3 linked regions of the Struthio camelus genome follow. The protein of the gene in region 1 interacts with the protein of each later gene in a biochemical or structural test. Links are inferred from orthologs where the notes say so. Each region holds a gene or a part of one and is shown in the gene's direction. Other genes may lie near its edges. The genes, in order: RAB11FIP3, ARF6 and ARF5.

Region 1 (10,437 bases):
AACGTAACCGAACGCTGCTGCTCTGGGACATCTCGAGGTCACATCACCTAGAGACGGAGCTGATAGCTACTACCTCTCTGACAAGCGACTGTTGATGGTGACGCTGCTGATCCTGCCTCTGCTGGGTGGAGGGAGCACCAAGGATGCTGGGTGGGGAGCAAGCCTATGCCAATTCTGTGCCATTGTTTTCTTCCGAGCTCACATGGCTGAGACTGCGAGGACAGCAAGGGGTGGGCAGGCTGTGATGTTTCCTGTCCAGTTTGTGTCCCCCTTCATGTTGTTCTCCTGGCTTTTCCTGAGTCTCAGGCAGTGCTCCCCCAGGCTATCCATCCCCTTCCCAGGCTCTCCCCTGGGTCAGAGACCTGCCTGAGATACCCAGCAGCATCCCCTTTTTGGGAAGGCGCGTACTTCAGGCCATTCTGGGTTGAGCAAAGCCGTGTAATTTCCCACTGTCACTGCTAGCTGCCATGTCTGTGCCTTATCCTTCTGCAGGGATGAGGCTAGCCTTAGTGCTCAGAGCATCTCTTGCTTTGTAACAGGAGCTGGCAGTTCTCTGAGGGCAGACAGGGGCCAAGCCCCTTCCTGGCCCCCGGCGGGAGCAGAAATGGCTTTGTTACCTCCTGTAATGCTAGGCCAAGAGCAGGTTCCTCGATGAGGCAGCGGTCTCTTGAGGCTGGCACAGATGCAGTTGGGATAGCCATTATCCCAGGAATAGAGATGGTGTGTGTAGGCCAAAGCCAACCACAGATGGTTCTGTACTGCTGTGCACATTGTAGCTCTCTCTCAAGAGACTGGGTGTGCAGCTTGCTGTCAGCCCTGTCTGTCTGTCACGCTATCTCATGCTGTCTCCTTTCTTAATACTTACACTACAGATGAGGGTAAATCAAGGGCACGCTGAGGGCTAGCTGAAGTTCAGACCTTTCTGAACTGGCCACTGAGCTGACAAGCTGCAGGGAGCTGCAGCAGTTCTGCATTGGGCTGCTGGACGCAAACCTGCCCCCTGTGCTGGAGCCTCGTGAGGTACACACCCATCGTGTGCTCGTGGGCTCTGCTCTGCAGCGTTCAGTGCCCTGCTGCTGACAGTTTTTAAGCTTCACTTGAATTCTCTGAAGTCTGATTTAGAAAACTGCGTTTCCTGCTTGATTATAGACTTGACGAGTTTTGCTCCTTCCTCCAGGCCATGAATAAAAAACTTCTGTTCTTGACTGTGACACTTCTCATCTGTTCACCTGCTCAAGGTTTTGATCCTGCAACATTTGTTCTGCCTTTAATTGCTGTGAGCTTGGAAAGGGTTGCTTGTTTCCCTTTTTCACTTGTGAACCTGTAGTCTCAACAGCAAGAGAGTTGAAAGACCATGTTGCATCTTAGGTCAGAGCATCCTTTTAGCCAAGGTTGCTATGCCAGCTTACTGCTGCATGAGCAAAGCAAACAGGCTGTCTGTGGGGCACCCTGGGGTGCTGACTGATACTGGCGGTCCCAATCAAGCCCTGAGGGAGGAGGAAAAACCGCTACTCCTACTAGCAGTGCTCTGTGGCACCCAAGTGCTTGGAGGCTCCTTGGCCCCAGCACCCTAGGCCAGTGCTGTGTGTGGAGCTACTGCCTCCGCAGCCCCAGCCCAGCTCTCTGGGCAGACGCTGGCAGGCAGCTGTTGGATCGGGTCCCTTGGCGGAGGTACTGAAGGACTCTGCGTGGGAGAGAGACCCCAGCCCCTTCAGAGGGGCGAGTATGTGTTTGGACCAGGATCCGGGCCTTTCCTCAGGCTGTCCCAGGAGTCACATTGGTGATGTACTGAACCAACCCACCACCTCCTGCCCCAGGCCTGTGTGCGCTGAGGAAGGGGGATGCTGTTTCTTGGGGCTGTAGGAAGCACCATGGGCTGTCTTCCTGCCAGGCCTGGGGTCCCAGGACAGCTGTGATCACAGAGTGGGTGTGTGGACCGTTCTGGCCGAGATATATCTTCCAGGAAGTCAACCGGCCTCACTGCACTGTCTCCTCATGTCCTGTCCTGCAGTTCACTGTCCTGACAATGAGAAATTGGCCTAATTCCCCCCTTGGAGTGCAGCTGGCTTCAGCCCTTGATCATAAGCTCTGGCTTTGCTCTTCCCAGGTAATTTTGGACAAGTATTTTCTCTTGGAGAAGGTACTTATGTGACGCTTTTTGGTCCTAGCCCCTCAGGTACGGTCTGTTCTCTGAGTTGCACCCCTTGTTCTCAGAGGGTGCACGTATTTAACTGTGTCTTGTTTAACCATGACCAAGCGAGCCAGGGGCTGTCTGTCCCTGTGTGTGATAACAGCAGTGGTGGCTCTTGGAGGTTTTGCTCTAGCCAGCCCCGTGGCAGCCCCTCGGTGCGTGTGCAGTGGACGCAGTGACACTGAGGGGCTTCAGTGGGAACCGCCTGGGATGTGCTAGTATGAGGCTGGGATAGCGCAGGGAGGTGCAGGCAGAGCTGTGGCCCCCTCGGTTTCCCGCAGCTTCGATGCTGTCTCTGAGCTGCAGTCAGGTGACGTACGCCGACCGCCGGCAGGACATCGGGCAGGTCCCCGCGCTGCCGTTCGCCTGCGGGGAGCGGTGCGAGGTTTCCCCGCTTCGGTGCAGCAGGGAGAGATGTGCAAGGAAAGGTGCCGGAGGAGAGGCGGCCTTGGCTGCGGCCCAGGAGCTGCTGCCAGGCCTAGGAGGTGTCACGTTGAGCCGGGCTCCCTGCCCGGCAGACGCGGGTGCTACCCCTGCGTGCAGCGCGGCCTGGGCGGGTGGCGAGGCCGGAGCCGGGCAGAGCAGCCCGCGTCGCCCGCTGCCTGGCTGAGCCCTCTGCCCCGGGGCAGCCCCAACGCGCGGGAACCTCTGCGGCGCGCGCGGCAGGTCTGGCTGGGTGAGAGCCTACTGACAGGCTCCTGAGCAGGCGCTTTCCCCCTTGCACCTTGGTATCGAGAGGCATCGCTCTGCCAGGAAGTGCGAACCAGCTGCGATCAAAGAGGATCCAAAGCGGTTAGGGGAAGAGACCTCTGTCCTCCTGAGAGCACATGGGCAGCATCTTTCCCAAATCCTGGCTTCATGCTGAGCCTCACGTTAGAAACGTCTGCTCTCCCGTGCCCGCAGAGCCAGGGTCCTGGAGCGGGTGCTCCCCATCCTGCCCTGCGAGCCGCGGAAAGCCCTGCTGCCGGCCGGGTGCTTGTGCCACGTGTCCCTGAAGTGGCTTTACGGTTGTTTTTGCTGCTTTAGGCTTTCTTGGCGGTTTCTCCCCAGGCCAGGTTTCTCGCTGTTCCTGCTGCGGGAGGCGGACGAGGCCAGGCCGTGGCGCGTGACCCATTGCGAGGAGCCGAGTCCTCCTCTATCGGCGAGAGCAGTGAGACGGGAGGAGCTGGAGACCTGGCAGTTCCCCGGAGCTTGTCAAGGGGAAGCTGCTTTTTTTTTTTTTTTTTTTTTTGCAGAGTATCAGGAAAAAGAGCCTCAGAGGAGGCAAAGCAGCTTCTCCCGCTTTCCCTGCGAGCAGCTCAGCAGCTGCTGGTGACCTTAAATAGCTGTTTCAGCCATTTGTTCCATTTTCTTTAAGGCCCAGATCTCACTTCCTGCAGTGGCCACGAGCATGTTTTTCCCTATGGACTAACTAAAGATGAGCGAGAGCCGAGGCTGAGAACAGAGCGGGGCTTATTCGAATCACCCGATGCACCTAAAATACAGCCCAGAGGTCGCAGGGAGCCGGTCCTGCCGCGTCAGGCAGCCAGCCGCGGCCGTGCAGCGAGTTGGGCAGCGCGGCAGGGCCGTTATCCCCTCGCAGGAAACCCTTTGCTTTCGCTCACGCGTCACTGTGTCGCGAACCCGGGGGATTGATTTGCAGCACAGAGGGGATCTGCCGCCTTGCAGCGGTCCCGGCATGGTTCCCTTTGCAGGCGACGCTTCGGGCAGCGAGCAGCCGCTGCCGCGAGCAGCTCCCGGCAGCAGCTTTCCCCCGGCAGGACCGCAGCCACCCCCTTCCACCGCACACAACAGCTCGGGGGAGCTAAGATGAGTTTTCAAACCTTTCCAGCAGCAGCCTGATCCTCACCTGGGTCAGACAGGTTTTTTCCTCCCTCCGGGGGAGGCTGCTTAACCCCAGCAGCTGTTTCTACCCACGGCAGGGAATTACATGACGAACGAAAGTCGTCGGTGCTACAGCTTCAGGCAGCCTGCGGAAAGCATGGTGCAAACCTCTAGCTGCACCTGCAAGGCAGAAGGGAGAGAGACCGGGAGGACCAAGATGGTTTAAAATGAAACCGAAAAGGAGATTTAGGCTAGGGAATGCGGGTGGAGCGGGGCAAGGCGGGAGAGGTGCGTGTGCCCCCTGCCAGCCTCGTGGCCCAGAGCCCTCCCTGCGCCTCCTTCCCCTGCAGCAGGACGCAGGCCAGGCGGGGGCGGCTTGGGGGCTGCAACGGCAGCGACGCGCACCTGCATCGCCACAGGTGCCCCCGGGCTGCACGAGGCTAGTGAGAGGCTGCTCCGGCTCCCAGGGTTGGGTGTTAAATGATTAGGGTGGACTGTAACTCCGACCAGTGGGGCTGCCTTACTGCAGCCAGCTGTGCCGTTAGCGCCCACGGCTCCGTGGCCTGGGGGGGTGGGCAGGAGCGCGCAGCCTGGCCGGGCAGTGTGCTGGGGACCACGCTGGTGCTGCTGTGGTGACACCAGCCAGGTTGGGAGCGCTGCCCTGGGCACCCTGCTGCTTGGCACTGGGAAACGAGGTGCAGGGAGCAGCGGCAGCACAGCTGTGCCATGCACAGCGAGCCTGGTGACACGTGCGGAGGTTGATGAGATGCACGGCGGCTGGCGCATGGTGAGGGCAGTAGGATGGACAGTGCATGGGGAGGCTGCTGCAATGCATGGGGCCTGGTGCACGGTGAGGCTGGCAGGATGCACGGGTTATGGGGAGGCTGGTGGGATGCATAGGGCCTGAAGCATAGTGAGGCTGGCGGGATGCATGGGTCATGGGGAGGGGAGGCCAGCAGGATGCACAGGGCCTGGAGGATGCATGGCTCGTGGGCAGGCTGGTGGGATGCCCGGGGCCGGTGCATGACAAGGCTGGCGGGATGCCCCGTGTGCAGCACGGCGTGCGGGTGCGCAGGGCGCAGCGCCCCGTGGGGGCGGCGCAGGGCGCGGCCGGGGGACGCGCGGCGCGGGCGGCACGTGCTCGCGCCTGGCCCTTTAACTGCGGCCGCGCGCGCGCGCGCGGGCGGCGGCGGGGGGCACGCTGGAAGGCGAGTGACGTCACCGCTCCAGCTACTGCGGCGGCTACTGGATTAAATTTCGCCGTTGGCGGCGGCCTCCCCCGCGAGCGGCCGCGCGGGCGGGCGGGGAGGTTGTTTGCCGCCGCCGCCGGCGGGAAGCGGCCGGGCGCCCCGGTGGGTCCGGCCGGTGCCGCAGGGCCGAGCGCGGCGCGGGCGGGCGCGGCGGGGCGGGGCGCGGCGGGCGGAGCCGGCGCCGCCTCGCACAAAGCCCTGCCCGGGAGCGGGCGGAGCCGGCGGCGCCGCGCCGGGCCGGGCCGGGCCGCAGCGCACCGGGAGGGCAGCGCCACCGGGGCCGCCCCGCGCCCGCCGTGTGAGGGGCCATGGCCGCGGGGGCACGGCGGCGCCGCCGCGGGGCTCGGCGCGGAGGCAGCGGCGGGGCGGGCGCCGGCGGCGGCCGCGGGCTCTGAGCGCCGCCGATGAAAATGGAGCCGCGTCCCCCGGCGGCCCTGCCCCAGCCGCCGCCGCGGGGGGAGCCGCCGGCCGGGCCGGGCCTGCCGCCCCCTGAGGCGGCCGAGCCGGGCGCCGCGGAGGAGGGCGGCTGCGCCGAGCCGCCGGCGCTGCGGGAGGACGAGCCCCGCCTGCGCGCCGTCTTCGACGCCCTCGACCGCGACGGCGACGGCTTCGTGCGCGTGGAGGAGTTCGTGCAGTTCGCCACGGCCTACGGCGCCGAGCAGGTGAGCGAGCGGCCCGGCGGCGGCGGCGGCCTCCCCCCCCCACCCCCCCCCCCCCCGGCCGGGCCCGGCCCTGGCGGCGTCGCGCTGCGGCCGCGCCGCGTGCGCCCCACGCGGCCCCTCCGCGCGGGGTGCGGGGCCGCCCCTCACCGGGGCCGCCGGCCGCGCCGCTTCCTTCCCGTTTCCGCCCCGCTGCCGCCGGCGGGCGTCGCCTCGTGGCGGGCCAGGTGCGAGGTGGTTTGAACCCCCCTCCCTCCCCGACGTGGCGAGAGGCGCTGGCCGCCGGGGTGCGGGGGAGCCGTGGCGCCTCTGCGCGGCGGTGAGGGGCAGCGCTGCCCCGGGGCAGCCTCCCCCCTCCCTGCCTTTGCCCGGGGGCGCGGGCGCCCTCGGGCCGCTGCGCGTCCCGCCGCGCTCGGGAGCCGCGTCCGCGCCGCTCCGCGGCATGACAAAGCAAATTCTGGCGCGGGAAGGAGCGTCTGGGGCGGCGGAGGGCTTTCAGCGCCTCGCCTCACGGCCGGAGCACCTGTTCGGGGGGCGTTTTGTTTAACCGCCGCCGGAAAGCGGAGGAGCGTGACTCCTTTGTCTCGGCTGGCGCCCGGGAAGCATCGCTGGCTGCGAGCCGGGGCCGCGGCCCAGGAGGGAGGTGCTGAGCTCGGGTGCGGCCGGCCCCACCGACAGCCCGCGCAGCCGGGAGCGGACCCCCCCCCCGTCACTGTGTGCCAGCGCTTCAGAGGTGCCGAAACTAGCCGTGAAGCGCTTTGGGGTTTTGCCCCGAGCGGGGGCTGCGAGGTGCTAAGGCCTAGCCCGGGTGAAGCGGGCTGCGCAGGGGGTTCTCGTGTTGCTGGGCATCGTCCGTTTGAACTGACCCGGCTCGCGAACGGCTGCGTGCAGGCTTCTCGTCTCAGCTCCCTCTTCAAATCCCTCCTTCTTCTTGCAGAGAACAGTTATCGGTAATGCTGTCCGCACAGAGCTATATTGTGCTTTTCATCTCTCTAGCTATCTATCTCTATATAAAGTGTGTGCCTATATAGTACACACACACGCTCTATGATATATAGCTGTACGTATATGTGTGTTGCTGAAAAAAAATATATATTGATATAGCTAGTTCTCCATGTGCTGAACAACTGTCTCTTGGTACTGTAAGTCCTGGAACATCCTGGCAAGACTGATGTGACGACAGCTGAGCCAACAGGTAATGGGCATCCCAGGGAATGAAGCCCAGTACCTTTTGCAGAGGCATGCCAAAAAAGAAAATGTAAGCTTATGATGCTTGCGCTTGTGAGAAGACTTAATGTTAGCTTGCAGCTCAGAAAAGAAAGACAACATGCTGAGCATGAAGGTGGGGAAAGGGTTGTTGGTGAGATCTGTTTCCAGCAGATATATTGAACAGTGGAGGAAGGTGTGTGGGGAAATTTCTTGACCTCTTTTGCTTTAAGCAAATGTAACTTGGGCCAAAAATGGGCCTTCTGAAAAATGAAAATCCAGCTCAGGTGAAAGTTAAAGGGCAGGATTATCATGGGTTGGGTAAAATGATGTTAAAGGTGACTAAAATGAAATTTCAAGATGTATAACCAAGGTTATACTTAAAACTGGGACTTGGGAGGCTTGCAAGAGAGTTCCCAAGGGTTTGATGGCTCATGAAGTTGTCGAGTAGTTGTTCGGTTGGCAAGGAGTTAATGAGGAGCCGGTCCCAGTCCTCTTTGCTCTATCTCTTGTCTAGGAATTGGAGGTACCTGCTTCCTTTCCTTCTCCCCCTTCTTCCTCCTAACCACCGCCCACACGGGTGGCTGCGTGGAAGGTATGAATGAGGTGTTGGAACAAACTGCTAAATTTAAGCACAGCAAGTCATCAGAGCTAGCTGATTCATCTAAGAGTTCAGAGGGCTGAAGGGTTAAGGAAGCACGTGTGTAAAACAATATGTAGCGGAGAGCTGGAGAGTAGCAAATGTTGTGTTTAGCATTCACTAAAGCACCAGAGGCATTTATGGGCTACTGAGTTCAGTGCTCTCAGGTTATTTGGCTGAAACAATTATTAGCTAAATGTCAAAGGAAAGAGACCAACGGACGCTTATTCCATAAAAGATTAAATGGAGTTGAGTTTCTGTTAGGATTTCTTCTCCGCGTGATCAAAACCATGCATAGGAGAAACTGGGGTGTTTTGGTCTGGGGGATTTTGTTGTTTTTGAGGTAGTTTGGGTTGTTGAAAGACTGTCTTAAACTCCATGGCTGCGTAATGGGAGGCGTAGTGCTAGTATGGAGTAGAAGACATCAAGGCATAGAAAGCTAAAGACTATTTGTTCTTCTTTGAAATGATGAAAGTTAATAGGGATCAAAGCTGTCACCAGTACCTTTGTTTAAAGCGTTGTATGGAAAGGATGGGCACTGAGGTCCCAGTGTTTGACCCCTTAGCTAGGGGTAGCCTTGGCCCTAGGAGATGCGGCCCCACGTAGGGCTCTGCAGGCCATTACGAGTGGCCGCGTGTGTCGAACGCAGACTGCCGCGCGGACGCCTAAACGAGGCGTGCACAGGGGAAGATAGGTCTTGAGGACGGCTTGACTTAGCATACCAACCTCCGTGGACTGTTCACTAGTAGCTCATGAGGCAGTTCCTAGCGGCATTGTATTTTCATTATCTCCCCTCCTCTTACTTTTACGCGTTTCCTAGCACCCGGCGTTCACCTGGAGCTGCTCTGTATGCTGTCGTGGCCCAGGGGATCCCCAGCGAGCGGTACGCGGGAGTAGGGTAACGGGGAGACCCTGTAACGAAGGGGGAAGAAAAGCATTAGGGTATCAAATCGGAGAGCAAGTGAAGAAGTACAGAGTCATGTTTTATGTAACTGTTATGTCACCTTGCAAAGCAGAGGGTTGTATCTTCCATTTACGTGAGTTATACAGAGTCTGAGGCTTATCGCACAAGATTTTAAAGCAGCAAATACATAATTTGTCTTGCCTGTTTTACAGTTGCAGTATATGTGTCTGATTGCAGTGAGACAGAAGGCAGAGCCTTTTCTCACCGGCTTTGTTACTAGCTAGAAACGGCGGATTGTGTTGGGGAGGAGGAGAAACAAGTGTTTGTGATGCATGAGGGGAAGCTATCCTGCTGTCTCTTTCTTTTTTTATCTAGAAGATAATTGGAGATGGAAAAGCCTTTTGCACCACATGATCTCTCTACCTCAGTTCAATTAAAATAAGTCCCTGCAATTTGCTTGGCATATTTGAAAGTAGGTTAGACAATACAGCATCTCTGCTTCCTGTGTTTTGACAGAGATCTTTGACCTTTTTTTCCCCCCCTTGATGATCAGTTCAAGCTTTGTTTCAGTGTGCTTTGTTTCCCTTTCTTTAATATTAACATCCTTTAAATATCTGCCCTGGACTACCAACCACCTTCTGCTCCAAATCGGCTAATCCTCAGCTGAACTCTCCATGTTTACCTTTTATCAGCTTCTTGGAAAGAGGTGGCCAGCCTGACTGGGATGTTGCGGAAGGAATCGGGTCTCGGCATAGCAGGTACTCTGCCTTGAAAACTCCAGACAGCGGATGCAGAGACAAGGATTTTATTTTTATTTTCCTAATGAAAAACTCTCCAAGTCTCAGCAATTGTTTTCTGGAATGAAGTCTGGATGCTGTCACACTACAGCTTTTCAGTGTACTTTTCTTATAGTTTCAAGATCTGGGTCACTCTGAGCACAGGTAAAAGCTAAAAAAGCCCTCCTTACCCTAAGGTAAAGGGCCTTAAGGAAGTCCAGTTTCTTCTCCCCCCTCCCCCCCCCCAAGCTGCAAACCACTCAAACTTGTGCAGTGTAGTTGCAGTCTCCTGTCTAGTGAATCCAGACTTGCTTTTCCTTGTCAGCTCTGATGGACCCCCTAGGATCTGTTCAGAGACCCTGGGTCAGACCTCTTACCTCCAGTAGAGCTCAGTCTTGGAGCTGCTGAGGATGCATGTGATCTTAAGTATCCTCTCTATTCCCCTCTTTCTCCCATGTCCCCAGAAATCGAATGTTTTGGAACTGTGTCATGGGGAAACCTCAGGTTTTTTTCTTTACTCTGAGGAGTGTTGTGGTTTTTGTTTGTTTTTTCCCTCAGAGGAGAAGAAATGCTGGCTTTGCCTGTGAAGAGATTTCTCAAAAGTGTCATGTGAAGGTTCTCAGACCATGTAAATGTGAGTGAGGCTCCAAATTGCTTCCAACTGTGGTGCTGCTGCTGTACCTTTCAGAGGCTTTAATTGCTGTTTAACTTTGTCTGCTGGCTGAGAAGGGAGCTGGAATTGCAGTGAGAGTGATGCTGCGGGTATGTAGTAGGCTTGAGCTTGCCTCTGGACAGACAGACAGTCACGCTCACACGTATGTGTATTTTGGAAGAGGAACAAATCTGAACTATTCTGCTTGCATTGACTGAGGGCCCAGTTTTTTCGCTATAGAAATCTGTGGCAAAACTCCCATTTGCTTCACTGATTCAGGCTTAAGCTCTTGCTCACCTCAAATATTCGGCTGGTTTGGCTGGAAACGCGCTATA
Region 2 (9,821 bases), on another chromosome or scaffold:
CTTTGTCATGTTTTTAGCCTTGGGCTATGCCAGGTTCAACTCCGGAGACCCTCAGCATGTCACACAGTGACAGCTAAAGGAATACAGTAATATGCTCCAGCTCAGGGCTGGAACAGGTCCAAGCTGGAAAGCTCTGACCAGCAGCAGTGGGAGAGCTGAGGGACACTGCCAGCCCCCAGGGAGCTCCCACAGCAGAGGGATAGGACAAGCAGCTGCTAAAGGGAGCACTCACTACAGGCTCAGGGACCTGCAGGGCAAAGGGAGTTAAGCAGAACGTGCGGACCACAGCCCGCAGCACGGTCTGGACCAGCACCGCTCAGCTCAGCCACAGGCCCACATCTGCAGCACCTTCGGGCAGGCACAGGGCAAGGCACGCAGTGGGCTCTGGAAGGAGAAGGCCCGTGCTGGCAAAGGGATAACAGAGGCTGGAGCACCCTTTCGTTTGATGGTATCAAGCAGAGGCATGCTGGTACCCTGCAGGGAAGGGAAGTGGCACTACCTCTTGGCAAAGGGAAGGCCCTGCTGCACAGAGGTGGGCTCCTCAATGGCTCTAGTCCAAGAACAGCTACAGTATCCCTGAAAATACCTTGGTACCTAAGCAAGTAATTCCTGCCAAGCAATGACACGTGTCCCATCACTTGTCAGGAAGGAAAAAAGAGGAGATCAGGAAGACCAGCGTGGACAGAACCCAGCTGCTGGCCAAGTGAAATGGGCAAAGACAAAGCTGGTCAAGCCCCATCTACGGACAGTCCCCAAGAATGAGGGAGCAGCCCAGCCAGCAAGAGAGTCACTGAGAAACCTGAACCAGTTGCTATTTAGAAGAGACCCAAGGAAGGGTATGTCTGAATCCAAAGCAGAGTGGGATGGAAATGGTACTTCCCCACTCTCTACTTACTCATTTTGTTTTGCTTTGTGTCTCATGGTACCGCGGGCGGTGGCACAGCTCTGCAGCCCAGCCATCACACCTCCTGCAGCCCAGATAAACAAGCATTCAAGATCCTGTTAACTGTTTCACTCGCTGTGCTGGCTGCAATCCAGAGCACAGACATACTTTGCTTGAGATCAGTGTTTCTTAACTGCTGGATCCTGGGAGAAGGCATCAAAGGCAACTCTCAGCTATTAAAAGCAAGCACAGAACTCTCATGTACACTTACACCCTCTGCTTATGCCTTATGCATAAGAAGGCTAAAAAAGCAGTCGTTTCCTGAAACCAGAAAAGGTTTATCCGAGGCCAGGGAGTAGAGGAGTCAATACCTGCACATGTACAGAAGCAGTACTTTAAAACTCCCAACATCTCCTCTCCCAAATATTTGGGTCAAGACTTGTTCTACTGCTGTCTAATTAATGAACTGTTGCTGGTGTTCACAACACACTGAAATGGTCTCATGGAACAGAGCCAAGTACAAATCCACTAACCTCCACATCCTGATGTTAATTTTAGCCCTGCTTGGCAGTAAACTCCATTTAGATAAATTTCCTTTACTAAAGAGATGAGACTGAACTGGCAGTATCCAGGGGGATCGGTAGGGCTCACTGTAAATTGCAGGGCAGTATGGTACTCAGCCATAATACTTGCTGCTTTAAAGACCAGAGCATGAACCCTGGCACTGCCTGTTGCACTCAGGGACACTCGTGAGGCCTGATGTCAGCAGATCGTACCCTCAGCTCAGCCTGCACGTGCTGCTTAAGAGAGGTCACGGATGGTATGTTTTCCTTGGCATTCTCCCTCTTTGCTCAATGCATGAAAGAGAAAGGCTTCCTCTGAAACTGTTGTTGTCATTCCCTTAATAATTCCGTAATCTAGGAAATCTCCCGTTCTCATTCTAGACTGCAAAGAGAGCACACGATTTCCCCTTTGCTGTTCCAAGGGGGATTGCTTTGCATGTGCCACATAACAGCAAAAATATGGCTGTGATAAAAATTAACCCAAATGAAAGATTTGCTATTTTTGAAGCGACAGAGGGATTGACAGAGGGTCAAGTCTCTTACACATGCAATCTCAAGTAAAAGCACACCTGTGCTCTCCGGGCAGGCTGGAAGGCAGCCACGTAGCCTGGCCTCCTGAAGACTGATGCCAAGGGGACCACGGGGGACATTTCACCGGGTTTGTACCCTGGCCCCCCTTCCCATGTCCTCTCCTGTGACTCACATACAGCTACCAACACAGGCTGCATTTCCCACTGCCTTCCTCCCCGCAGGCCCTGCCAGCACAAAGCGGGCTAACGCCCTGCGCAGGCAGGCCCTGCTCCAGCACGCCTGCCCTGCAATCACCAGGTGAGGACCAGCCCCATGGTGACTAAGAGCATACGAGGAAGCACAGGGCTGCCCCGTGCAGGGGCGGTGAGTCCTGGCGTACCGGCCTCGCCACCTAGTCACCGGCAGCCCAGCCTGGCGGGGTTGCGACATACGGCAGGGGTTTCTGTCTGTGAAACTGGCCCAACGTGTGGCTGTGAAGTACGTGCAGCAGGAGCCGTTTTGCACCGTGCAGGGTGCACAGTGGGGCACAGCTCCCAGGGAAGGCAGTGGAGGAATGTGGCCAGGTATTTGAACACTTTATTTCCTGGTTGGTTAGCCACGGTTTAAGTTCCACTGATCCTAGTTATCTGGAGTGACCCAAGACACCACCCACCAAAGAGCCTTAACCCTTTCTGCCACTACACATCCCAAGTTGTTTTGTTTTAAAACAGGGGAGATTCTTTTTGGAGAACACTGGGGAGGGCTCACCCCCATAGGCTACAGGCATGGCTGCAGCCGAGACATCCTGACTCCTGGTGTAGGTATGGGGGGAGACGTGCTTCTGCAGCCTCCTCCTTACTCCTCCTGTAATCTTGTCATGGTAGTGGGGGAGTTGTGCTCATATCCTCAAGCATCTTGCATCAAGGCTAGTGATACTGCAAATGTGGTTTGTGCTGTCAAATGTAGGCTTTTTTATATTGCAGAAGTTATGTGCTCCTGCTTGTCTTCTTCCCAAGCCTGTGAAGCCACTGGCTTGGCACGAGCCAGGGCACAAAAAAGCTGCTCCTAACCATACAGCCATGTCTAACACTCTGATGTATAACGCAGGCAGTAGCTGACTGGGCGTAGGACTGTTCTTGGTTTCATATCCTGTGACGTCTTTCAATATACAGCACGTACCTTCCGGGCCAGCCCGCCCTCCTCAAGGCCTTAAAAAACAAAAAAAAGGCAAACATCAAATTTATATTCTGTGGTTTTCAAAGATTTAAGTATGATGACCCTTTCAGTTATGGCTCATATAGGTCAGGCTCATAGGGGTCAGGCAGGACCACTCAGAGCTACACAAGGGCTCAAGCCCCTTCCACGCCCACATTTCAGTCTGTTCCCTGCCCCTGCTCTACTGCTCCTGCCAACTACCGGACACTACACAGTCTTCATAATGTCCCTAAAGTCACTGCCTCCCAACTTCCCACTTCCTTTCTCCAGTCTGCCACCTTCTTCCCTTTCCAGCAAGCCCTTCATTGGCACTTCCTCTTCTTAAAGAAAATACAGCTTGTGCTGTGCTCAGATGAGACCTGCTTTCTTCCCCCCAACTAACAGATTTTTAACAGCGATTCATTCAACATACCTACGTTAATTTTTCCAACACCTGCCAAGGCCAGTGTTGGCGTTTGCTACGTCTGGGCATCATTCAGGAGCTAATATACCACCAGCTCTACGCCACCACACAGGTCAAGTGAGCGGCCTAGCCAGGATCCCTCTTCTGTATGTTGCCTGAGCACCCTCAGTGTAATTGATTTGGGACACAACCACGGGATTTGAGCTTCCCTGTGAGGCTCCAACACTGCGTTCAGCTTTGCTCTTCCATTAGCAGGCAATGAGTCGAGACCCTGAGGGCCAGTCTGATGTTCCAGCTACGGCATTACAGAAAACAGCAGACTGGACGACACCTTAAGGGATTAGTTAGTCCAGCACCATGCATGAGCCCAGCTCAAGCACTCTGGATCATACTCCACAGGCTTCTGTCTGAGCTCCAAAGCGCGTGACCCTAAAACCTCAAGAAGGGACCGCACAGGCTCCCCCCGCAGATGGCTTCCCTCAGAAAGCCCTTCCCACAAGGTGGCCTAAACCTTTTGCCAACCTCGGCACGGCAGAGCAGGGCGATGACGAGCCCGGCCCCCCTCCCCGTCAGCCCCTTTTCCCTAGGGCGGCCTAGCGCAGGGCGGACCCCAGGCACCAGAGGCCCCTTCCCGCCTCGGTGGCCCTGTGAGACCTGTCCCTCCGCGAGGAGCCAGGGCCACCGGCGGCCGCGCAGCGACGGCGGGGCCCCTCAGGCGCATCACCCCTCCCCCAAAGCGCAGGCGGCCGGGCGCAACGGTTGGCGCCAACCGCCGTCAGGGCGGGCACGGGCACGCGCCCGCCCCCGCGCATGCGCGCAAGGAGCAGCGGCAGCGACACCCATCCCACCTCCCCCGCCCCGCTCCGGGCCCTTTAAGAAGCGCCCGTGGCGTCCTGCGCGTGTCGTGTGCTGACGTGTGATCGCGTGGCGCCTCTCTCCACAGACGCCCCGCCCCCTCCGGCTGCCGCATGCGCACTCACGCCGCAAGCCCCGGTCCCGGCCCCGCCCCGTTGCTCCCCGGCCCGCTGCGCAGGCGCAGCAGTACGGGAAGTACCGCCCTCGCCTGTGCTGGGCGGCGGGGCGTGCGCAGACGGCGCACGCGCGGCGCTCGCGGCGGGCAAATCGGGCGCGCTCCTACGCCGCCGCCCCGCCCTTCTGCGCCGGCGTGCTCCGTCTGCGCGCGCTCCCTCCGACGCGCGCGGGGCGGGCCGCCGTGACGGCACCCGGCGCACGCGCGGTTCCCTTCCCGAGGCCGCGCGGGGGCGGGCGGAAAGGGGCGGGGCGCCGCTTGCCCCGCTCCCCCCCCACCGCCGCCGCGCTGTGAGGGGGGGCCGGGCGCATGCGCAGAGGGCAGGGCGGGTGGGGCCGGGGGCGGGGGCGCGGCGCGCAGGCGCAGTGGCGGCGGAGGGGGAAGTGAGGCGGGCTCGCGCGGCGCCTTTTCCGGCGAGGGCAGCTGCCTGAGGGGAGCGGCGCGGCGCGGCGCGGCCAGCAGCGGAGCCGGCCTCGGCCTCGGCCCCGGCCTCAGCCCCAGCCCGCGGGCGGCCCTGAGGTAACTACCGGCGGCCCCGCTACCTCCGCCTGCGCGGGCCAGGACGCGGAGCCGCCGCCCCTGAGCCGGCCTCCATGAGCTGAGGCGCCGGGGCGGCAGCCAAGGCAAGAGCCGGGCGGAGCCGTTGCCGCCGCCGTCGCCGCCTCAGGCCCGGCCGGCGAGCGGGGCGCGGCGCGGCCGGTCTTCCCGCTCCGCAGCGGCAGGTCTCGGCCTCCGCGGCCGGCCCATGCGGCGCTGAGCCCCGCCTGCCCTTGGCCTGACGCGCCGGGCCGGGCCGGCCCCGCTCCGCTGCGCTCCGGGCCGCCGCCCCGCGCCGGCTGCTCGGCTGCGTCGCCGCTCGTCCCTCATCTCTCCCTTCCCCCCCCTCCCCCCCCCCGCCGGCGCCGGGCCCCTTGGATGCCGCCGAGATGGGCAAGGTGCTGTCCAAGATCTTCGGCAACAAGGAGATGCGGATCCTGATGCTGGGTCTGGACGCGGCCGGTAAAACCACCATCCTGTACAAACTGAAGCTGGGCCAGTCGGTCACCACCATCCCCACCGTGGGCTTCAACGTGGAGACGGTGACTTACAAAAACGTCAAGTTCAACGTGTGGGATGTCGGGGGCCAGGACAAGATCCGTCCCCTCTGGAGGCACTACTACACGGGCACGCAAGGGTTGATCTTTGTGGTGGACTGCGCCGATCGCGACCGCATCGACGAGGCCCGCCAGGAGCTCCACCGCATCATCAACGACAGGGAGATGCGGGACGCCATCATCCTCATCTTCGCCAACAAGCAGGACCTGCCCGATGCCATGAAACCCCATGAAATCCAGGAGAAACTGGGCCTGACCCGAATCAGGGATAGGAATTGGTACGTGCAGCCCTCCTGTGCTACTACAGGGGATGGACTCTACGAAGGGCTGACATGGTTAACATCCAATTATAAATCCTAATGAGAGAATAACTATTTAGTCTACAAAGAATTAAAAAAAAAATAACCCACATGGCTTTCCAGACGAATGATTCTCTACTGAAAAGTAAAACAAAAGCATCCATAGGATTATGATCACCTTTCTCCAGTTACCACCCTTTCGTTCTACACACTGACTGGATTCCTGTTTTAACTCTCCTTGCTTGGCGTTAGGATGCTCTAATCTTCAAACGTGACACGAACACAAGCACTAGATGCTATGGCAGACCTCCAGCAAACAGGGGAAAGACACATTGTAGACTTGCTAAGTAACTTTTTTTTTTCCTCTTGATAGCCTTTAAGATGGTTTGATTATTTTGGGGGATGGTTGGGGGAGGGGTACCATTTTCAGCGTATGCTTTCTGGTTCTACTTTTTTGATTACGTTTTTTTCTTCTATCACTTGCTGTAGATTGCTACTTTTTTGCATCCATGCAGAATATGTTGATAGGTCTACTTCATCTAGTAAACGGAAAACTATTGCTTAAAATCAAACTGCAGTCTGTCTTTTTATATTAAGGACTTTTTTAAAAGTTCTGTTAATCTGTAACTAAATAGTGACTCTCAGTCTGTCTTCATATCTCAGACTAATAATGAAACGAAATCTTGCCTACAGTGGCAGATAGTGAGAATACCATTGTAATATGTTCAAAGTGCATATCAGGCATAATGTTAACTAGGTAATGTAAGAACTGCTTTGAAATGTCAGCTGTGAAGTTCTGAACCATACATCATGCATGAGAAGGGATGCAAGTAAGTTCCCCATACTACATAGCAACCATATAGCAAATACAACATGAATGATGTAGTAGTTCCAGGGTATATACTGTTCAGTTTTTGTCTTGCATTGCAAACTTAATGATGTTTAGCTGCAGTTTTTATTACTTGTGTCAGTCTCCAATTCAACGCAAGATATGTTCCTTCCAAAAAAATGCAGCAATAACGTGTAACCATTGCGACAAGTTTTAATTTAAATCACAAACGTTTAGGCAAAAATCTAGCACTGACTTTACTGTCTTGCGATAAAGAAAAGTTGCTTTCATCTCAAGACACTTGAAGACATCTTTTAAACCTTAAAAGGATTTATTTTCGTTACTTCTGAAATGCATGTATTGGAGAAAGGAGAACCAGAACCCTATTTTTCCATTTTGTAGACTCCCGAATGGGCAAGTTCAGCGCGAAGCTTTAACAGAGCTCAGTAATTCTGACATGTGAATGATTGCCATTTTGAGGAAATCACTTACTGGTTTAGTTCTGCAAGACTAGACTTAACTCATACAAATAGTTGCAGTCTTCGCCATCTGTCTCGGTAGCATGTTGTTGCTGTAGTCCTGTATGAAAGGAACTATGTTGGATGTCTGAAGCCCATTGAGTAACTATTAATGAGAACGGGAGGAGAGAGTGAGAAGACGACTATGAATGTAAACTTCCATAACTAGTTCTTAAAGGGCAAGCAGCTCATTTGCCATGTCACAGTTTTCAGATGTGACTGGCAAAAAAAACCCACCCAAAGCAAGTATTTGTATTAGTATAAAATCTCAATCAAGTATTAATACTGGGTGCAAAAAATGTAAAGCAGCTGGTTCTTATTCAGCCTTAAGGATTAACTTCAGATTTCCTCAAGGAGTTAAAATTCAATTGGGGAATTCTAGGAATGTATGCTACAAAACCAGAAGAAAATGGCTTTCTTTTTTTTTTTCCTTCCTTTTCCAAGGTTATGAGTTTTACATGAAATTGGGGCATTACACTACATTTCTGCAGTGTTTACTCTGCATGCTAAATGCATTGTGTATGGAGCTCTTACCAAAGACATATGGGAAGATAAAAATGCTGAATTCACTTCTGAATTTGTATGCTTTGGACCACTTACAAATTACCTTAGAGCATGGTTCCGAAAGAAGACTTATCTTGATGTGGGTTGCAAATGGGATTGAATGGGTTCTTGATACTAGAAGATAGAGCACTGATTGATTATAAACCTGTGCAAGTTAAAGATAAGAGTCTGGAAAAACAAGCTTCATGTACAGTACAAAAGCTCTTAAATCTCAGTCCTGAAGAAGAGGAGGTGAGGCTTTTCACTTAAGTCTTTTTGCCATTGGAATATCATTGCTCTATTTTCTAGGGTTTTTTTTTTTTTATAAGCGTAAGAATTCTTTTTTCTGTTGATGTAACTTAACAAATAGCGTGGTAGTATAAAGACTAAAAATATAAGAATATGGTTATTGTTTTCTTCTGGAGCATAAATAAAATAGCCAAGCACAAAGTAAATGCCTAAACTGGAAAACTTGAAGGTCTATTAATGGTTCTTGAACTTTCTTAAATCTATTCTCAGTCAAAATGAAAACTTAAATAACTTCATTTTCAGTCTAAGTTGGTTTACTGTTTTTTTTTTCCTCTTCAAATGCTGGGGCAGACTTCTTTGCTAGACTTTGCATTAAGTTGAATTCACAATTTTGTATTTCCTTAGTAACTTTGTTACTTTAGATATTCTGTTTTTGTAGGTGAAAGGAAACTGATTATGCTTCTGTTTTTTTGTTTATGTCTTTTTTTGGGAGAAAAAAGTTACTGAAACATGTGGCAGAGACTTCAAAAATAAAAGGCCATTGCTACTGAACAAAATACAGTTTTCACTTTCAACATGTCCTTTATAGGTTATAGCTGAACCTCACCTTGAACTAGTGGCTATGAGGCAGTAAACATAGCCTGTAGGATAAAGTGGCAATCTGTAAGAAATCCAATGATTTAAAAACTAATCTGAAGTTTAAGTGCATCAATTTGTGTTCATGTGAATTTATGGAGTAAGTTTTGAATGGCGTTAATCGTGTCCGATAAGTGAATGAGTTTGTAGACTGTGATCTCCCTGACTAAAGTAAACAGGAATTTTGTGTTCTCAATATGGCTGTAGTGTTGGTAAAGAACTAATAAGCAGAAAATAAAGCAATTACACAGTGGAGCTCTCCTGGTATGTTACTTATATTTAATTATGAGAGAAACAGAAAGGGGCAAGATGGTACTGGAGTAGTGCATTCTGCTGACATAAAGAGGTCTCTGTTCTATATTTCACAGTTTTGAAAGCCTGTCTGTAATTCTTTTGAGACTTAGATGAGTGACTATTTTTATAAATGGAAAGGATGATGCTTCTTTAATACTCCCACTTTTAATAATCTTCTTTTAGCAAACTTCAGTGTCAAATCTGTAATGACTTTGGTAAAGCTGCCAGCCCCAAGCAACTTGCATGAGGACTTGGAAAAGTCATACAGTGCACGGCAGCTTCTGTGAGAGGGCACACAGGGGCTGTGGCGGAGGAGGACAGGGCCGTGTTTAACAGAAGAAACTAGCTGGTTGGAAAGGGAAGATTTTAGGCTAATGTGGAAAATGCAGCTATGCACAAAAGGGTCGATGACTATGAATAAGGGTGCTTGTGGAGTGACAGATGTGAAGTTGGGACGTTTTTCGGTGCGGTGCCCGAATAGGAAAGGAGTGAGCCAATAAAAGGACTTGGGCAGGTGCAGCAGGGGAATGCATGGGGGGACAGGGCAGGGCGAGGCAGCCCGGGCAGGATGCAGCAGGCTACGGTTTCTCTAACAGCTGCAGTTCCTCACGCTGAAGGGGAGACAAAAACGTTGCAGGAAACACTTAACGGTTTCAGCCCGAAGCTGGGGTGACGGTCTGGTCGCCTTCGAGTAGGGAGTTTGCCGACAGAAGGGATGGACAGATGAGGTTTCGAGGCAACTTCCAGCACCCCCA
Region 3 (10,629 bases), on another chromosome or scaffold:
AAGATTCTCTGCATTGGGATGATGCTGGTAGTTAAGATTCATCCTTCTTGCAGGCTTTCAGTTCTTTCTGTTATGTAATTATTTTAGCACTGCGTCAAGTGCTTTTTTTTTTTTTTTTTTTTTAAGTATATTTTGAATCACAAGCCTGTCTGGAGTTTCAAGATACAAGCAAGTTTCACCCTAAAAGGGTTCCCCATCCTATGCGTGACAGGCAAAGATTTTTTAAAAGTTGATTTTAAAAAGCATCAGTATCTTCCAAAAAAATTGTTTTTAAATCAAGTTCCCACTTAGAGCGAAATCTCACACCCGAGAGCACTGTGATCCTACTGGAATAGTTGGAACAATTCTACTTTAGATTAGTGCTAGTAGCACCAGTTTAAGCCCAATTCTTTCCTGAAAGCTCTCTGCTCCATTGCACCTGATTGGAAAGAGCTTATCCCACAAATGATTTGGCTTTAGATAATAACCAGAAACATGTTATAGAAAAACTGTTATGGGTAAAAACTACCATCTCATCTCTTCCCAGAAAGCCACCAGCTACTGTAAGCTGACTGTTTTGTAATAGCTTGCTTTTCTTCTGGGCTGAAATGCAGAATAGTCAATATGGCAGTTAGAGTCTGTTGGCGACCAAGAGAATCTGGCAGTGTTAAAAATCTATAGACAATGTTCTTGAGGTATTCCAAGTTGGCTCCCTCTCTGCTCTTATCTCTGAAATTCTTCTGGATTTCATTTTGAAGCACGGACACCTCTTCCCGGTGCTTCTCCTCCTCAACCAGGATCTTCTCCTGGAGCTGGTGAACTTCCATTTCCAGCTTGTGCTTCTGCTTCCTCAGCGCTACAATTTCCACCTCTTTGCGAGCCAGCTGCTCTGCATACAAGAAGAAGGTGGGCTCACTGGTGGCAGCGAGATGAAGAGCCTGGGGGAGATTCTCTGAAGAATCGTTACCTGATGAGTCATTGCTGGTAACATCAGTCCCTGATGCTAGGTAGTTTTTGGATCCTTGAAGCCCATAAGACAACGTGACAGATCTCAGCTGCTCCAGTTCTTGGTCCTTTTCTGCCAGCACAGCCAGTGCTCGGTCCCGCTGTTTGTGCATTTCTTCCTCCAGTTTCAGTGTCCGTTCCCTGTAGTCCAGCTGGCATCGCTCTAATTCCTGCCTGTGAATTTGCTGCAGCTGGGACAGCTCTTGCCTCTTGGCTTCCATATCTTGCTGGTGCTGCTTCTCCATTTCCTCAGAGGACAGTCGAAGTACAACATATTTCTCTTTCAGATCAGCCAGCTGCTCTTGAGCTTCCTCCAGTTCTTTAGCCAGATTGCCATCTTTGGCTGACTTGTTCTTGAGGACCACTTGTGCCCTCATCTTGTACCTTTCAAATTCTTCCTTCAGCTGCTTTAGCTCCTGCTGATAGTACAAAGCAGTTGCCTTCTCGCCATCCCCAGTCTCAGTGCCCTTCGGCAGCTCCAGCTCACACAGCTTCTCGAAGTCCAGAGCAGGCTGACTCTTCTTAGCTGCTGCCTGCAATAGCTTCTTCAGCTTCTCCATTTTATCCTTTAGCACATTCACATCAAGGTTGCTTTCTTCTAGATGAATATCAGCAGGAGAGCGGCTGGACGCAGCAATGGCTAGGGTTTTGTTCTCCAAGTCCAACTGTACAATGCGGTCCTTCAGTTTCTGAATGACCATTTGGTCTTTCTGCTTGGCTTTTTCGTAAGTGCCAAGTAGTTCGGACACTTCGGAGACCTGGCCCTCCAAACTAGCCACTCGCCGCTCCTCCATCTGGGCGTGCTGGCGGAGCTGCTCCTCTGCCTGTGCAGTCTGAGAGCAAAGAGACACGGGAGGGTTAGATTACCTCAACACTCTCTGCAGGAGGTCTGCAGTTTACCCAGGGGCTTAATTCTGCTCTGATGAATTCCAGGCAAGGGCTGAGCCATCCTTTCCCCTAAAATCCTGTACAAGCCACTACGCTGACTTGCCCGTATTGAAAAGGGAGATTCAAGGATAAAAGAAACCAAAGGCATTTTTGTTTTTACTCCCAGTCCTCCAACAGAATTCCTGTCAGCAGTGTTATCTGTATTGCTACAGGTTGGTGGGGGGTAGGAAAAAGCAAATTCATGTCACAGTCTGACATAGGATGTTTAAAAACATGCACGTGCTTTAAAACTCTCATATCTCAAACTACAATTTATTTAAATGCTATGCTTTGTTGCACTGGTATTAACATAATTCAGTGGTTCCTGAGTAACTACAACAAACACCTGGTGCTCACAGTTTTTATGGCTATCGAGAGCCAACTGTCTAATAGAAAATTTGAATGGCAGCACTTGACTGACCATCACGAATTAAAGCATAACTGGGGTCAGATCATTGTCACCTCTGTCAGAGAACGTGTTGCAGATACCGTCCAAAAAGAGGCAAATAGCGTGAAATCAGCCTAGTCCCTAATTAGACCCTTCAGATTAGAAAGGAGAAAACGTGTTCCACGCCGAGGGATGAGGAGGATACCATTCTGGAGTGCTTCCGGCTGCAAATTCAGTTACTGGTGCCATCTCCTGAGCACGTTGCCCCACAACCCACAGAGTTACACAGGTTCCTCTTTTACATCACATCCCTTGTTCTAGCTCTTTTCTCTCCCCACATGCATGCAGGCAAGAGCCTTTTTCTCATATTTACCTTTCTTCTTTCCCCAGAGCTCTTCAAACTTCACTGAAAAGTAACCCCAGGCCCTTCAATAGCACAGGCCACGAAGCTCCCTGGGCTTACGCTAGCCAAACCAGTTTATGTTGTTCCCATCAGCACGGATGGGCTGTCACCTTTAGCTGCACAGCATCTTTCACAATGGATCAGACAAGAACCTCTGCAGTTTGATAGCTTTTGTCACAGCAGCTGTGAAATTCACAGAAATCTCTCATCTGCCATGCTGTAGAATAGGAAAAGGGAAAGATGGTTTCATGACTTCAACAAGCAAGTAGTGCAGGCCCTGAAGACGAAGGCATGAGAGGCCTTATTTCACAATTATCTCCACACTCATCCGGGGAAAGTCCTACCGATTTACAGAACATTGCATTAGAAGTTATTTCCTTTTATGAGCTACAGTAGTTGTACCTTGCATTGCCCTTAAATACTTTACAAGGACAAGAGCACATTCATTGCCACAGTGAGTCAAAGCAAAGGTCTCTCCTCCCATCCCAGCCACTATCACACCAGATGATAACGTGTTCAGAACCTAATGACGCTCTAGAGGATAGCCACAGCCCAAGCACCTCATAAAGGCTGCTCCCAACGCCCATGGTCATTAGCCCCTGCATAGTATGACTTACACACTGAACCACAAACAGCCTTTATTTTCCTCAGGGAATACCGTCTCATCAAATAAAGCCATGATGTTCTTACTTATTTCAAACTTCTTGGACAGGGAAGGGAAATTGTGCCGCCACTCCAGTCAAACCCTGCCCCCTGACTGCTGCTGCTATGTCCCGCAGAGTAAGCTGCTCAAGCACACAGCCAGGGAATTACCTTTCTCATCTCTTGCAATAGCTGCACTTGGAAGTGATTCTTGAGACTGGCCATCTCCTCCTGCAGATCCTGTATCCGTGGGTCTGGTTTGTTGCTCTCTTCCTGCACAGTTTGCAACTCTTTTTTCAGGTCTTCTACCTCCTGGCTCAGCTGCTTGATCTGCAGTTCATACCCCTCCGCACGGTCAGCCAGGCATACCCTCCCAGCCAACAGCTCCCTGGTCTCCTCTAGCTTTAGCTCTACGTCCTGGCGTGAAGTCCTCTCAGTCTGGAGCAGCTTCTGCAGCTCTCGCAGCATAACAGCGTGGTCACCCTGTTCTTGGGCTCGGTCATGCTGCTGTGTGATCAGACGGGCTTTGGTCTCTGCTAACTGTTCCTGGACAGACTTCAGCTCGGTCTCCAACTTGTCCCTCTCATCCTCTGCTTTCTTAACGGCATCATCCAGGTCTTGTTTCATCTTCTTCTTGTCTGCTTGGTATGAAGCTTCCATGCGAGATTTCTCCTGTGTGACTGTGGACAGAGCACTGGTCAAGGTGGCCAGCTGAGTCTTCAGCTGGAGCACTCTTTTATCAGCCTCACCAGCAGATGATGGCACATCTCCGCTGTTTGTGCTGATGCCGCTCTCTGAACCGCTTGTCTCCTCTGATTTAAGAGAGGAGGCAGTGGCCGCAGGCTTATCATCCTCAGCTCCTGGTTCAGCTTTGGTACTGGCCAGACTGGCAGCCGTGTCTGCACTGGTGGCTGTCCCCACGCTATCCTCACTGTGAACAGAACTCCTGTCATCAGCAGAATCGGCAAAGGAAGAGCTGGAGCTTGCCACAGACGCAGGGTGAGCTCCACTCAAGCCAACATCTGCCTCATGAGACACGGACAATACTTTCAAGCTAGCTTCCAAGGCCTCCTTTTCTTTGAGCAAGCTCTTGTAGGCTCTGACAACATCCTTCAGCCGAGCCTGGTACTGAAGAAGCTGCTTTTTCTGAGATTCAATAGTTTCTAGAAGATCTTTTTTACTTGGGCCACCTCCGAAGTTCATGCCAAACTTCTCCATGATGCCCTGTGCGATCTGAAACGAGAAGGAGAAAACCAGTGCACAGGCTAAACAAAGAGCAAAGACATATTTATGATTAACAGGAGCAGGTTGCTCATCAGGACCAGCATGCTGGACTCCCCCTGGGACACCAGTTAATGACCCTGTAACAGAACAGCCTAAGAAACATACTGGGCTGCTGTTAGGCCGCAGAAGGGTTGAGGTGGGCAAGGACCTCTGGAGACCGGCTGGTCCAACCCCCTGCTCAAGCAGGGTCACCGAGAGCACGTTGCCCAGGATCGCGTCCAGGTGGGTTTTGGAACATCTCCAAGGAGGGAGGCTCCACAACCGCTCTGGGCAACCTGTGCCGGTGCTCTGTCACCCTCGCGCTGAAGAAGTTTTTCCTCATGCTCAGACAGAGCTTCCTGGGCTTCAGCCGGGGCCCGCTGCCTCTCGTCCTGTCACCGGGCCCCACCGGGGGGGGGGGGGAGGGCCCAGCCGCGCACCGCCAGCCCGGAGCCCTACCAAGGGGGCCTCTCCCGGGCCGCCGGGGCTGGGGGAGGCATCGGGGCAGGAGAGAGGGCAGCGACGGGCCGCCGGGGGCGTCCCCAAACCCCCCCTCCCGCTCCCGGCCCGCGCCGCCGCCGCCGCCCGGGCCTCACCTGCAGGCCGGCGGGTCGCAGCCTCCACTGCGCAGGCGCGGAGCCCCCCCCCCCGCCGCCCGCCGCGGCTCAGTGCGCACGCGCCAGACCGCCGTTTTTTTTCCCCCCCCGCCTCCTCCACCCCCTCCCGGGAGATCGGACTGCGCAGGCGCGAACCGCACCGAGGCGCGAGGGCGGCGCCTGGCGGGGCGCCCGTCACAATCCGCCGGGGTGAGATTCCCCCTCCCCCCCCCCTCCCCCGGGGCATGCGCACATGGGGGCGACACGCCACAGACGCGCCGCGAGCGCCGCCCGCGGAGCCAATGGGCTTCAATGCGCAGGCGCAGCCCCGCCCCCCGGGGGGGCCAATACGCCATCGGCAGCAGGGGCGGGGGCGGAAGTGGGCGGGGCTTCCGTGGGGACGGGAGCGGGGGGGGGGTGCGCGCGCGCGCGCGCGTCAGAGGGAAGGGGCGAGGCCCATGGAGGCGTGTCACGGCGAGGGGCGGGCCTAAATAACCCCGGGGGCGGGGCTTCTCCGGCGGGGCGCCGTAAGGCAGGGATGAGGCCGAGGGGGCGGGGCTTCGTCCAAGGGGGCGTGGCGGCCGGGGGGGCGGGCCCGAGGGGCAGGAGGCGGGCCCGGGCGGCGCGGGGGCGCAGGGAGCGGGCGGGGCCTGGCTAAGAGGGGGCGGGGTCTAGCTAAGTGAGGGCGGGGAGGGGGCGGGGTCTGGCGGGGAGGGGGCGGGGCCTGGCGGCGAGGGGGCGTGGCGCGGCGCGGCGGAGCGCCGAGGCAGCGGGGCCGTCGCGTCCCTCCCCTCCCGCCGCCGCCGCCGCCGCCGCCGCCGCCATGGGCCTCACGGTGTCCGCCATCTTCTCCCGCATCTTCGGCAAGAAGCAGATGCGGATCCTCATGGGTGAGCGGCGGGGGCGGGCGGCGGGCCGGGGCCGGGCCTGGGGGCACCGGTGACCGCCGCCTCTCTGTTGCAGTGGGGCTGGACGCCGCCGGCAAGACCACCATCCTCTACAAGCTGAAGCTGGGCGAGATCGTCACCACCATCCCCACCATCGGTGAGTGGCCGCCGCCGGGCCGCCCCCGGCCGCCCCCGGCCCTGGACGCGGCTGGCGTCGCCGGCCCGGTGCCCCGTCCGCGTGCCGGGGGCTGCCGGCCGGCTGGGAGGGTGGTCCTGGCCCGGCGCGGTCGAGCGGCCCTACCGCGCGGAGGCCGGGGGCCTCGGCAGCGCCTGCCGCCTCCCGCCTTTGCAGCCTTGCCGGGCGCGCCGCCTCGCTCGGCGAGCAGGGTTGGCTTGTGGGCCACCTTGCGCTCGCGCAGCTTGGTTTGCGGCTCCTCATCTGCCTTGTGTTGGCAAGCGCTGAACTGAAGCCCTTACGTCAGCGTGATCTTGCTTCGGTCTGGTTCAAAGGCACTTCGCTTGGCGAGGAGGCCGCCACGTGCTGTTTTCAGAGCCTGCCCGAGCTCTAAAGGCAGGACAGGTTGTTGTTCCTGCCGGCGCACGGGTGGAAAGCCTTTAGGGAGGCTTTCAACGCTGTCTCCCATAACATCTCAGACAAACTGGTGAAGGACACGCTAACTAAGTCAACTGAAATCTGGCTAAACTGCTGGGCTCAGAGGGTTATGATGAGTAGCACAAAGTCCACCTGGAGGCCGGTCACGAGTGGTGCGCCCCAGGGGTCCATACTGGGGCCAACACTCTTTAACACCTTCGTTAATGACCTGGGTGGTGGGACCGAACGCACCCTCAGCAAGTTTGTAGACAATGCAAAAGGGGGAGGAGTGGCTGATACCCCAGAGGGGCCTCAAGAGGCTGGAGAGATGGGCAGAGAGGAACCTCATGAAGTTCAACACAGGGAAGGGCAGAGTCCTGCCCCTGGGGAGCAATAACTCCAGACACCAGGACAAGCTGGGGTCTGCAGCCAACTGGCTGCAGAGCAGCCTTGCAGAGAAGGCCTAGGTGGTCCTGGTGGGACAACAAGTTGAACATGGGTCAGCAACATACTCTTACAGCAAAGGTGGCCAGTGGCCTCCTGGGTTGCATTAGGCAGAGCGTTGCTAGCAGGTCGAGGGAGGTGATCCTTCCCCTCTGCTCAGCCCTGGTGAGGCCACACCTGGAGTGCCGAGTCCAGGTCTGGGCTCCTCAGGACAGAGAGGCATGGACCTGCTGGAGCATGTCCAGCAAAGGACCACAGAGATGATGAAGGAACTGGAGCATCTGTCATATTAAGAAAGGCTGAGAGAGCTGGGACTCTTCAGCCTGGAGAAGAGAAGACTCAGGGTGGTGTCTTATTCGTGTGACTAAAGAGCTGAAGGTAAGATGTTAAGAAGATGTGCCAGACTCTTCTCAGTTGTGCCCGGTGACAGGATAAGAGGCAGTGGGCGCAAGCTGAAACACAGGAATTTCCACTTGAACACAAGAAAACACTCCTTCACTGTGAGGGTGACTGAGCACTGGAACAGATTGCCCAGAGAGGTTGTGGAGTCTCCATCCTTGGAGATATTCAAAATCCACCTGGACACGATCCTGTGCAATGTGTTCTACATGACCCTGCTTGAGTTGGGGATTGGACTAGATGATCTCCAGAGGCTCTTCTCAACCCCAACTGTTCTGTGATTTTTGGTACATGAGTATCAGCCACATCTGGGCTGCTGAGGTTTTCAAGGGGATGTTCCCAGGGGCTGGCTGGTGAAATCATGCAGTGCTGGTCCTGGAGAGCTGGCAGGGCCAGGATAGACTTGCTGGGCAATGCTTGTGAGCGTGGGGATGCTCAGCTTGCAGAGTGAGCAGGCTGAGGGCAGGAAGCTCTGCAGCATGTGTTTCCTAGACCCTCTGCACAGCCGAATTGTGTTAACAGTGCGGTGCTGGGGGTAGAGATGCTCCCTGGGGATTGGTGGCAGATGAATGCAGCAGTGCACCTTGGTCTCCCTTCCTGCACTCCTGAGACACCAGTGGGTGTTGTATGCCTGATGCTGCATCATCTCCCTGTGCGATTCTCTGTCCCGCAGCTCAGAAACACAGAGTTTGATCAGACTAGGGCTGCTGCCTCCTGTGTCTCTTGCCTGTGGTCTGAGAGCCCTGAGGCTGCCAGCAGGATTGACAGTGTGTGTGCTGTCACTTCTTGCCCTTCCTGCCACCCCTGCAGGGTTCAACGTGGAGACAGTGGAGTACAAGAACATCTGCTTCACGGTCTGGGATGTGGGTGGCCAGGACAAAATCCGCCCCCTGTGGAGGCACTACTTCCAGAACACGCAGGTACGTGCCGCCGCAGGCCACGGTGGATGTGGCTGTTGCATGGGGACCCCTTCAGGCCTCTGTGCTGCTGGGGGGGCGAAGGGTCATGGGCCCCCACATCTGCAACAAACGCTGTTCTGGTCGGTGGGATGAACCTGCTCCCCTCTTAGCAAAAGAGGGCATTGCGTGGGGAAAGGTCGAAGCTCATCGTCACCTCTGGTCCTCGAGTGGCTGGTGGCAGGCTTTCTTCCTCCTAACGAGGAACTGAGCAGGGAGCTCGGCTGAAGTCACTCTCGTTCCCTCGTGTGCAGGCATGTGCTTTGGGATTAGAGGAAATCTGGGATAGTGCTTGGTTGAACTTCATGACTTGTAGCGATGCAGGGTCCCAGCAGCCTGTGGTCCCTTGGAGCTTCTGGCATGATCCTGCCTGAACTGAGCGTGTGAGTGGCTGCAGGAAATAATTCCTGGCTCCCAGTGCAGTGAGCCAGATGGGTCCCTAAGGACTGTATCTGGATATTTCCCTCAGCTCCTTAGCAGGAAGAGAAGTGTCTGAGATAAGAGTCCTTCAGAGGACTAGGTGTAGGACTAATTGGGCAAGGTTAATCACCCTTGCTGCTCTGGTTCGGCATGGGCATGGGCTGAGGAGGGCTTGGCAGGCAGCTGAGTTGTTCTCTGTTTGTCATGGGGTGTCTGTAGGCTGCCCTGACATCTACCTCCTCGCTGGGCCGGGCACAAGCTGCCTGCTCCAACCTTGACTTCTCTTACAGGGCCTCATCTTTGTTGTGGACAGCAATGACCGTGAAAGAGTGCAAGAGTCTGCAGATGAGCTGCAGAAGATGGTAAGTGTTGGCGGGAACTGCGTGTGCCCGGCTGAGAGATCTGGTCTTGCACGGAGGCTGGCTTGCCCTGGCAGAGGGGGCTGTTGCATTGCCAGCCTGGCTGTCCTGGGGCACAGAAAGTATCTGCCCCAGCCCTGCAGAAGTGCCTTTGTGCCAGCATGAGGCAGGGACTGGAGCATTCACCAGTTTTTGTCAAACGACTTGTCTCTCCCTGTGAAAAGGAGCAGCAAGCGTCTGTCTGCTGACACAGAGATTGCTTCCCAGGAGACAAGGTTTAAGGATCAGACGACAATTCTAATCTACCAGGCAGAGGCTTAAACTGTAGTGATCAGGAGCAATTGCAAGAGGGGTAAAAAACACAAGAAAACACAGTTAAGAAAACACAGTTCTTGGTTATACTTAGGGCTTTCTTTAGCTGAGGCACTGAAACGGCCAGTGCAGGAGCCTGCTGCTCTCAGGTTATTGTGTTCTGAACGTTCCCTGAGTCCACGAGGAGCCCACGCACAGTGTGGCGGCAGGCGAGTGTTTGGAGCACTCTCCAAAGCGCTCTCCTGTGGCCTGTGTCAGGGTTGGCAGGAGGGGTGGGAAGGCTGGGGAGGCTGGAGGTCTGGGTGCCCTCGGGCACCGGCATGCAGTCCCCAGTCACCTTCTCAGTGGGATCTGGTTGAGGGGTGAGCTGGGGCTGCTCATCCCAAACGTGGGAACTCTGTTTTGGGACACGATGTCACACGTCCTGGGAGGCCTCTCGCCGTAACCACGCTGCTTTCCCTGTGCTCTGCATGGCCTCACTGCTAGCCTCGAGCTGCCCGGGGTGCTAACGTGCTTCGAGAGCTGAGCTCTTGGGACGTGGAGCAGTGGACTGCTCAGTGCTGCTCTGAATGTGCTTTCCCTGCCCCGATGGAGGTGCATTTAGCTGCTGATTTTCCAAGCCTTTTAGCTGCCACAGGGCCAAACTGCGTGGGGCACGCGTAGAAACCATCTCTGTGTCAGCCTGGCTCCTGTTTTCACTGCCCGCAGAGACCGGGGTGAGTGAGCATGCTAAAACCTTGTGCACATGAGGAGGGGAGGCAGCTTCCAGAAATGCCATCCAAAAGCCAGTTTGCAAGGTGGGGATTGTTTACTCCTTGGCTTAACAGTCTTGGTGGGTTCAGGGCATCCTTGGGGTGGAAAGCTGCCACAGAACTGAGCGTGTAACAGCCTGTGAGCAGGGCAAAAGGATGGGATCATTCGCACTGACCCCATTCTGCTGTCGAAGAGCTCCATTGTATTCACAAGACAGATTTTCTTCTGCGTTTGTAGGGGAGAGCCTGATAGCCTGGTACCTCTGATGTTAGATAACATGTTTCTGGCAGTGATCTCAGTCCTG

The links.
Region 2: the proteins of RAB11FIP3 (region 1) and ARF6 form a complex in vitro, tested with the Homo sapiens proteins (2 studies listed by BioGRID). The link is inferred for Struthio camelus from reciprocal best matches to the Homo sapiens genes RAB11FIP3 and ARF6.
Region 3: the proteins of RAB11FIP3 (region 1) and ARF5 form a complex in vitro, tested with the Homo sapiens proteins (2 studies listed by BioGRID). The link is inferred for Struthio camelus from reciprocal best matches to the Homo sapiens genes RAB11FIP3 and ARF5.

What each region holds. Positions count from the first base shown.
Region 1 is NC_090956.1:17,787,126-17,797,562, reverse strand, and holds the start of RAB11FIP3 (rab11 family-interacting protein 3), read left to right. Parts: upstream 1-5,773; 5' UTR 5,774-5,927; intron 5,928-10,437. UniProt on the Homo sapiens protein: Downstream effector molecule for Rab11 GTPase which is involved in endocytic trafficking, cytokinesis and intracellular ciliogenesis by participating in membrane delivery. Recruited by Rab11 to endosomes where it links Rab11 to dynein motor complex.
Region 2 is NC_090946.1:81,168,134-81,177,954, reverse strand, and holds ARF6 (ADP-ribosylation factor 6), read left to right. Parts: upstream 1-5,346; 5' UTR 5,347-5,530; coding exon 5,531-6,058; 3' UTR 6,059-9,027; downstream 9,028-9,821. UniProt on the Homo sapiens protein: GTP-binding protein involved in protein trafficking that regulates endocytic recycling and cytoskeleton remodeling. GTP-bound form plays an important role in the transport of multiple palmitoylated proteins form the Golgi to the plasma membrane.
Region 3 is NC_090942.1:1,066,462-1,077,090, forward strand, and holds the start of ARF5 (ADP-ribosylation factor 5), read left to right. Parts: upstream 1-5,928; 5' UTR 5,929-6,026; coding exon 6,027-6,093; intron 6,094-6,166; coding exon 6,167-6,247; intron 6,248-8,335; coding exon 8,336-8,445; intron 8,446-9,191; coding exon 9,192-9,263; intron 9,264-10,629. Other genes in the region: GCC1 (GRIP and coiled-coil domain-containing protein 1), read right to left, coding at 513-1,817, 3,516-4,562.